2 linked regions of the Coturnix japonica genome follow. The protein of the gene in region 1 interacts with the protein of each later gene in a biochemical or structural test. Links are inferred from orthologs where the notes say so. Each region holds a gene or a part of one and is shown in the gene's direction. Other genes may lie near its edges.

The links.
Region 2: the proteins of F5 (region 1) and PROS1 form a complex in vitro, tested with the Homo sapiens proteins (2 studies listed by BioGRID). The link is inferred for Coturnix japonica from reciprocal best matches to the Homo sapiens genes F5 and PROS1.

Annotation. Positions count from the first base shown.
Region 1 is NC_029516.1:74,924,495-74,928,769, forward strand, and holds part of F5 (coagulation factor V), read left to right. Parts: intron 1-1,069; coding exon 1,070-1,225; intron 1,226-2,005; coding exon 2,006-2,150; intron 2,151-2,291; coding exon 2,292-2,440; intron 2,441-4,202; coding exon 4,203-4,275. UniProt on the Homo sapiens protein: Central regulator of hemostasis. It serves as a critical cofactor for the prothrombinase activity of factor Xa that results in the activation of prothrombin to thrombin.
Region 2 is NC_029516.1:80,452,363-80,457,304, reverse strand, and holds part of PROS1 (vitamin K-dependent protein S), read left to right. Parts: intron 1-356; coding exon 357-546; intron 547-1,522; coding exon 1,523-1,690; intron 1,691-2,152; coding exon 2,153-2,321; intron 2,322-3,887; coding exon 3,888-4,036; intron 4,037-4,771; coding exon 4,772-4,942. UniProt on the Homo sapiens protein: Anticoagulant plasma protein; it is a cofactor to activated protein C in the degradation of coagulation factors Va and VIIIa. It helps to prevent coagulation and stimulating fibrinolysis.

The DNA of each region.
Region 1 (4,275 bases):
CAGTGGTTCAACAGTCACCCTTACAATTTAGGCTGAAACCGTTCTGTAGGCAAACAAAATCATTCTTTACCTTTTCTTTTTCTTTGCCTACCTAACAGTATAAATTTATTTTTATGTACATTTGTTGGGTGATCATTTAATGTATAATACCCTCAAGTATTACTTCAAATGGTTTTGGAGAACTTTTATTTTTACTGGATGCTTCAGCTTTTATGTTCAGCTTGACATATCACAGGCAAATGAAGCTTCAAGCACTGTACTCTTTACGTGCTTCACTTCCATGTTTTTCTTCTATCCGATGACTTTTGCACCAGTTAAACCCATACCTGTGATTTCTTTAAAATCTCATGAAAATGACCAGTTGAGGGAAGAGAGAGACTCAAACTAGTGTTGCAGCATAAGTTCAACAGGTAGCTGTTAACAAGCTGTTAGCTTGTAAACAATTTACATGCTAGCAAGTTAGTGGAGGTGAAGTAGGGGAACTGCAAAATATGTTGAGAAGATAAACAATTTGATAAGGGCTATAGTAATGAGAAGCTGAGGTTATTGCAAGAGATCGTGCAGAGGTGTGGATGGAGGGCATATTCCAGAGAATCAACTCCACTGCTGATAGGAGCATCTTGCTAATTTGTTCTTGTGTGCTAAGTCTTAGGATCCAATATCAGAAGAAATGGGGTGGCTTTCCATCTCTTCTGAATAAAATGTCCCATTTATCAGCCTGGATTTCCAAAACCAGAGGCAGCTTATGAAAATGTGAGCCTTGGGTTTCTCTATACTACTTTTGCCTATCTGCAAAATAGAGAGAGCCCTTTTGCCTAGCACAGACACAGATATTTTTGAAGTGCCTTTGTAGTGCTCTGGTGAACCCTGGTAAAATGACCTCTGAAGTAAATACACATATGAAATTAGAGACAGTATTCATTTGGACTCCAGCAACTGCTTGTATTCCTTCTGAGGGTGTTATATTGTGGATACCAAAATGCAAAGCTACTGTGTAGATGCCAAAGAATGCAACTTATATCATTGTGTGGTTCTGACTTTATAAACACTCGTTTTTTTCTGTTCCTAGGTGGACTTTCAAAGACAAGTTCTATTAACTGGAATACAGACGCAGGGTGCCAAGCATTTTTTAAAGTCTTTCTACGTCCAGAAGTTCTTCATTGTTTACAGCAAAGACAAACGAAAGTGGAACACTTTCAGAGGAGACAGCTCTCCAGCAGAAAAGGTTTGTGCATACAACGGGGATTGCAACAAGCTAGGTAACCTCATTGGATGATACAGCAAGTTGATAATTTTATGTTAGAGATAATGGAAGGAGTGGTGGTATTCAGAGACTTTAGTAATACAGCTTGAAACCTCAATGAGCATTTACTAATCAAATTCAGACCAGAAGGCAAATTGTAAGATAAACCTGCTAGACTGGGATTTAGATCGTTCCTGTGACCTTTTCTGTAGAGTCTGGCTTCCTCACAAGAATTTCTTCCTATTTTTATTTCCTAAGCTCACATTGACTTTTGGAAATGAGCAGGAAGATGAACTAAAAATTAGACCCTATTTCATTTGGAACCAGATGCATCTTCCTTTTTCTTCCTCCCTCCTGTCACAGCAATTGAATTTTAAGCTCTCTGCATTGCCTGTAGTTGGCACATGTAACAAGTCTGGACATAACCCAAAAGAGGCTTCTTTTATAGTCAAGCACTCCAGCCTTGCCAAATACAGCTTTCTGTGGTAGGACTCCCAAATCAAAGAACTTTCTCTTACCTCTTCTTTTGCCACTTTTCCATCAGTTTTATATAGCACATAGCAATGGGTTGCTTACTTGAACTGAGGCCTTTAGATGCTAAGACGGGACCATGAAATAATACACGTTGCCTCGCAACATAAGATGCTCCATCATGGGCTAATGGCAAAAAAGACTTCCATAACAGAGCAGGCTTTTCAATATCCAAACTTGTGTTTGTATTAAATTAACTATATGTGGGTTTGTTTTTGTTTTTTTTAATAGATTTTTGAAGGTAATTCTGATGCCTATGGTATAAAAGAGAACATCATTGATCCCCCTATTATTGCAAGATATATCAGAGTCTACCCAACACAGGCCTACAATGAACCCACTCTTCGCATGGAGCTCCTTGGCTGTGAAGTAGATGGTAAGGATGATTCATGTGCTTCCTTTCTGGCAATTTTTTAACTTTTATGTTCAAAATAAGCTTAAATTGTGAGTGTTTTCCATTCCAGCTTTGTTACTTAGACTATGGCTACATGGTTGAATATGGCACTTCTCTTAACAGGTTGCTCTTTGCCACTTGGAATGGAAAATGGAGAGATCAAGAATACTCAGATAACAGCCTCATCTGTTAAGACATCCTGGTTTAGCACCTGGGAGCCTTCCCTTGCCCGTCTCAATCAGAAAGGAAAGATAAATGCCTGGCGAGCCAAGGTAACAAATGGAAAAAGAGGGACAAGCACAGGACAGCTAATGCTAATGGATTTGTACTCTGTGCTCTCGTGCTTTCTGCACACTGTGCCCAGTGCCAAACATGACAGGTTGCCTCACAACTCCTTAATGATCTTGTGAGAAGAAGCCCATTCAACTCTCACTAGAAAACTTGTTAAACTTTAGGCAACAGCATTAAAATCATATTTTGGAGAGATGGATGCTGCCCTTTGATCCACAGCCTGCAGCACTTCCCTGTGGAAATCTCTCTCTTAATTTCACCAAATGAATACAAGCTTGAATATTTGGCTCCATGGGGCCAAAGAAACCCTTCCTGGACTGGCTAATAAGTAGTACGGCGTAATGAATCTAAGGCTGCAGATTTTGTGCTTCATTCTGCCCCTGTTCTATTGAAAGACCTTCAATGGGGCAGGTAAACTGCATCTGCAAAATGGAGCTGCATTTATTTATGAAGCACCCTCAGAGTGCTGAGGATAAAGTTGCTGGAAGCAAGTGTTTGCTAGAAGTGTTTGGTAACAGTATTATGTATAAAGTACTTTGGAATTTACTGGAAGCTACTGTTTTATATAAGCATTTGATATTATGTATTATGTTCTAACAGTCGAGATAAATGTGTATTATTGTGGTGGGTTGACTTTGGCTTTTTGCCTGGTTCCCACCAAGTCATTCTCTCAATCCCCCTCCTCAGCAGAATAAGAGGAGAAAACAGCTACAGAAGGACTAATGGATTATGATAAGGGCAGGGAGATTGTTCACCATTTACTGTCACAAGGCAAAAACACTCGACTTTGGGAAGCTTAATTTAATTTATTGCTAACTCATTACAAAGTAGGACAGTAAGAACAACAACGAGCTAAAAACACCTTTCCCCTCAACTTCTTCCCAGACTGAGCTTCACTTCTGACTCTCTCCTTTCATAGCTGCTGCATGTTTTTTATCATTTCATAAACATGGTATCAAAGAAACAAGCAGCGTTGCTCATTGGCTTTGCTTTGGCTAGCACTGGGTCCACCTGGAGTCAGCTCTATCCAACATGAAGCGGGAAGCTCCTGGTCTCATTTCACCTGCCTGCAGTTCCCCCCTTACCAAAACTTCACCATATAAACATAATAGTTATTTTTCTACATGTATTGAAAATAATGTGAAAATCCCGAGGTACCAAATATACCACCTGCAATGAAGAAGTTAATTGTAGTGGACAGCCACAAAACGTGCTTATGACTTTTATTTTAGCTTTACTGTTCCTCTTTGCAGTTTTGATACGATCTTATCTACATCAGTTGCTCTGAAAGTAGTATGTCCTATTTATTCCTATGGAAACTACAACAGATACAAAGAGCACAATAACACTATTTGACAGAGAAAATTCTCGGCTACAAAACAGTATTTTTCAGTGTAGTCACCACCATTACCTGTTCATTTTCACCAGCAATGAACTGTGTGCCACAATGGTAAAAGGTATATACACCTTTGCTTCATTGGCACTCCCATGTCAGACTCTATTCTGTCAGACTGCCTCTCTGCTGCCATCTGTCACACAGCAACAACACGTAATGGAATATTGGTTGGAAGGTTCAACCTCTGCTGCTGTACCACCACCATCTGCCTCTGTCCTGGACCAACATAATAACACAGGAGACATTACCTTCAGAGCAGGCCTTGTATCCTTAAACGGGATTTTTCACTTAAGCAAGTAAAGAGATATATGTGTTTTCTAACGGGTAACCCTTTTTATGAATTACAGTCAAACAACAACCAACAGTGGCTGCAAATTGATCTCCTCACAATTAAGAAGATAACTGCTATTGCTACCCAGG
Region 2 (4,942 bases), about 5.5 Mb from region 1:
CACTTATTTTTCTCTACATCATATTTCCATGCAATGCAATAGGGATATTGCCTCTAACCTCTTAATAAACAGGATGCGATATCCTTCACGTGCAAAGCTCATATGAGACGTGGTAACTGAACAAAAGCTTTTTTCAATCCCAGTTCCAGGAATTAGTTGCTAAGCTTCTCCCTGGATTTAGATAAACAACATCAGATTCTGCCTTTGTCTAATAGGATGCAAATCTCACAAATGCTCAGAAACAGAATTACCAAAAGGTGACTATCAACTGTTTCTTACCCTACTAATAGGTTTTCCTAGGCTCTTCAGTACTTCAGGATTCCTGTCTTAATAAAAAATTCTTCTTCATAATTCAGATTTTCAGCAGAATTTGATTTCCGGACATACGATACAGAGGGAGTTATACTATACGCAGAATCCCTTGACAATACAGCATGGATCTTGCTTGCTCTTCGCGATGGAAAGATTGAAATTCAGTTCAAGAATGAATTTGGAACAAAAGTTACCAGTGGAGGAAAAGCCATTAATGATGGCCTGTGGCATATTGTAAGTTGGATTTGCCTTTTTCCCTTCCTTTAATCCCCCAACTGAACTATATGCAGAATGTAAGTAACTATTCTGGAGGCTTAAAATGATGCTCCCATATCTCAGATTTTAAAAAAATTAACCAAGAAATGTGCAAGGATGCCCTTCCTCTGGGAATTTGTGGTACCTGTTGTCACAGGTTAATTACAAAACCATGACACCTGTTTATCATCATAATTGGTAAAGAGAGAGCTAATACTACCTAGCAACATAGGAATTCTTCTTTGTAATCATGAAAAAGGAAGCAGTAGATAATTAGAAAGTGTGATTACAGGTTGAACTCCACAAGAATAAGACACTTTGCCTAGAAAGCAAATCTACTTTCAGTAAACCAGAAGTGCAGCTTGTTCTTCAAGCTTGCACTCCTAAGATGAAAGACCTTGCTCAGTTATACCATCTGTAATTGACACCATATTGTTAAGATAAATTTGTTTTTAGAGAGTGAGACAAGAGAACCCAGAATTCAGCATAGACCTCTTACAGTTCAGTTCAACTTGCTTGAGATTAAAATTCTACTTTGATGCCTAATAGTAGCAAGAGCTGAATCTGTTCTGTTTGTGTTCTGTCTGGAGACTCAACCCTCTGTATCCTGATTACAGGTTACAGTGCAATGGAGAACTGTATGCCAAATGTAGAAATTGTACAATTGTAGAAGTCAGCATCTTGAAAGTTCTATAGGGCATGAAGCAAACTAATCAGCTGTGTAGGTATTCTTGTGGGTAGGATGGGAGTAAAAATAAAGATGATCTTTCTATTGGATGTCCACAGCTGATCCAAATTTAAATATGCTATAAAGTACTGAATGCATTAGTGCTGTTTTACAATTCAGATATTTAGTGATATAAAAATAATCCTTCATACAGGCATATATAATTAGCATTTAGAAATATCCTACTTATTTGTGTGTACATATTTAAATAGTTACATTTCATTCTAGATATCAGTTGAAGAACTAGAAAACAGCATCAGTGTAAAAATAGCTAAAGAAGCAGTGATGAACATTAACAGCCCAGGAACTCTCTTCAAGCAATCACACGGTTTCTTGGAAACTAAGGTGTACATTGCAGGGTTACCTCGCAAAGTTGGTGACACTCTCATTAAACAGGTAACTAAAAAATCAGTGTTAATTAAGATTTATTACTTTCTGTATTTTTTCTTTTGCAGTCACACAGGAAAGAATAGTAGCTTGGAATCCATTCGGAAAATGAAAATTGGGTTATTAACCACTGTTTTGAAAGTAAATGTGCAGACAACTTTGCAGTCTATCCTCTGGTTTCAGTTATAAAAACACAGTGCTTAAGGCCTAATCACGTTTGTGATGTTAGCTTCTGCTATGCCCTGAGTGGGTACGGAAATCAACATCAAAACTGGAACTATTACATCAGGATAATTTATGGAAGGCTGACATACTAAATGCATGCCATTTGTTTTCTCTCAAGTATCAGTTCTGTAACCAATAGCATTGAAATGCTATTACTGGCTGTATGTTGATATGTAAAGTAAGACCTTCTTAATAGTTTTAAAATAAATTTGAGTTCACACCTCTGGTGCTGTAATTCCTCTACAGATTAACCCTCGGCTGGATGGGTGCATTCGTGCCTGGAACCTGATGAATCAAGGACATTCAGGTGTAAAAGAAGTTATTCAAGAAAAGCAGAGTAAACACTGCTTAGTAACAGTTGAGAGAGGATCATTCTACCCTGGAAATGGCATGGCAAAGTTTAATATAAACTACAGTAAGAATTTTTCTGTATGTTGTTATACTTGTTATACTTTTTGCTGGATTTTGCTGGAGGTGATGAATTGTAAAGGAAAGAAAAAGAAAAGAAAAACAACACTAAGCTACCTACCACTGCATTCAGTGGTGATTCCAGTAATTTTTTTGAGGAATATGTTTGAGTGAGGGTTTTTGCTCCCACTGATGTCATCGGTTTAATTTCTCAAATGCTTTAGGCTAGGAAGCATATTCTTCATTTGTAAAAAATGGGCACTAATTCTAATTAGATCTAATTCTGCTCTGTTTATCCATGGAGAGACCTACAATATTATTGACAGAGAAAGTATATTGGGGATGTGGAAAAGGATCACTACAGTTTTGTTCATATAATTCATCTCTTAAATGAACATCCTGTTGGAGTGCCTATCTTCTCCTGAACCCAAAAATTTATTGCCTGTCTTCCTGCCCTAATTTCAAGTTTTGCAACTCAGGATCACCCTCTGCTCTCTCAAATTCCTGAAGTGAAATATATCTAGTATCATCACAAATCTTGTCATCATTGCACTTCCATATCTCAGATGCTTTCCTACCCTTCAACCTCCTTTTGATCCCCAGTCCTTTTCATCCTAGGAATAGTTATTCCTTCTAAGGCCTTTTATTTACATCCTTGGTATCCCACTTCAAAAGATTTCTCTAGCTTCTTACATCAAGTTTCCAACCAACTCAAGTGATTTCTTATGCCATAGAAGGTTCCTCTGCTTTGCTCCCATTCATTCACATCATGCTGACATGTATCCTCCTGACCTTTTTACATGGGCTGCTGCTATGCCTTCACTCTCTCCACACCCCATTCAGTTTCCAGCCCCATACCACCCTCCTCAAGTTCAAGTGGCTGCCCACAGCTACTACTGCCTTCCCACAGGCTGTTATAGCCCTCTGCTTCCACTCACGCTTTCCTCTGTGTAGGGATCTGACCTAATTTCATGTTCTAGAATTTCTGCTTCTTGAAGAAACTACCAGAAATCAACTTAGATGTTACTGGGGAAGGGAGGGCAGACGCTAGAAGTTAGAAAAGTTGACAAATAGCTCTTTAAACAATTTTTGTATTAGCTTCACTGTGAATACATCATATTAAATTATATTCGCACCATCTGCACGTTTGTTTTACCCATCTGCGTATTCCCATTTTAATAGCGGAATGATTTCAGAATGTAAAAATGTGTCATAACTGCCAATCTTCTACTCAGTGGCAGAAATATATGAGTTAAGTCATTTTTTTAAGTTTGATCTTAAATTGACCTATAGTAAATACGGCACCTGTTCCATGTTAGAACAGAGAAAATAGCATTTAAAACGTCTGACATCTTAAAAGAACAATAGCAAAGATGCAAAGTTTGAGTGGGTTGTTTTGTTGGTTAAGTTTAGACTTGCAGTTCTTTCTAGAAGGTCCAAAATTCACTTTTTCTGGAGATTAGTACTAATTTTTCCACAATAGGAAAACAGATGGAGTAGTAATTTTTTAAGACTATATTAATTTTTCATTAGCAGGTTAACTAATTACTTTCAATCTTTTCTTTTAAAACAGACAATCTTGACAATGCTGAAGACTGGCTAATAAATGTGACCATGACTATTCGCCCATCCGCAGACACTGGTGTTATGTTTGCCCTGGTTTCTAATGAAACAGTGCCTCTTGCTTTGTCCATAGTGGACTCTAACTCTTCTGACTCACAGGTGATCTTACAGTTTCAGCATATGGAACATCAACTGACATGAATCACAACTCTCAGCTTTGTATCACTTAACTTACTACTCACTTGTGAAAAAAGTCAAACTAAAAAGAACTTACTTACACACAGAGGAGGTGGAAAGCTGAATTTATATTTCGCAAAGCACTTCCATCATATTTTGATGTGCAGAAAATGAATTACTATTTGCAATTGCTACAGCAGGGACAAAGCACTAAGTGCTCCTGTGTTAGGTGCTATTCATTATATCATGTCTCTAACATCTCCTTCCAAATGCACAAAGCAGAAAAGGGAGTATGGTAGAGGTTGAGTCATGATATTAAGGCAGTGATGTTAGTTTCAATTTATAAACAAATGTTTTTGCTCATCCATACATCTGCTGAAATGAGAGCACATAAGGAAAACTAAGTACCATCGAAGCTGTAGCAATACTCCCTTTGACTTTAAGAGAAACAGGATTTCACCTCAGAACCACAACCAAAGGGTTTTTACAGTGAATGTTCTCATTTACAAGCTTCAGAGTATAAGTGAATGGCTTTGCTTACAAAGGTGATGCAGCTATCAGCTTCAGTATCTTTTCCAGCTTAATATACATCTTTTTAAAACATCTCTCATATTCTTTTTCTTTCTACTTACAAATGTAAAATGTATCAGAATTAAGTATTATTGTGTGTTAAAGTTACACGTGCCATATTTTGTGACTTTATATTCTCTTGTTTAGGAAATCATTGTGACTATTGGAAACATCACTGTGGCACGTCTAGAATCAAAGAAGCTATGTACACCCAGGAAAGTGCAAGTTGGACTTCTGGTAACCAAACAGCAGCTACAACTGTCTGTTGATTCACGCACAGACCAAAGCAACGCAGAGCTACTGTCTGTCCTGCATCAA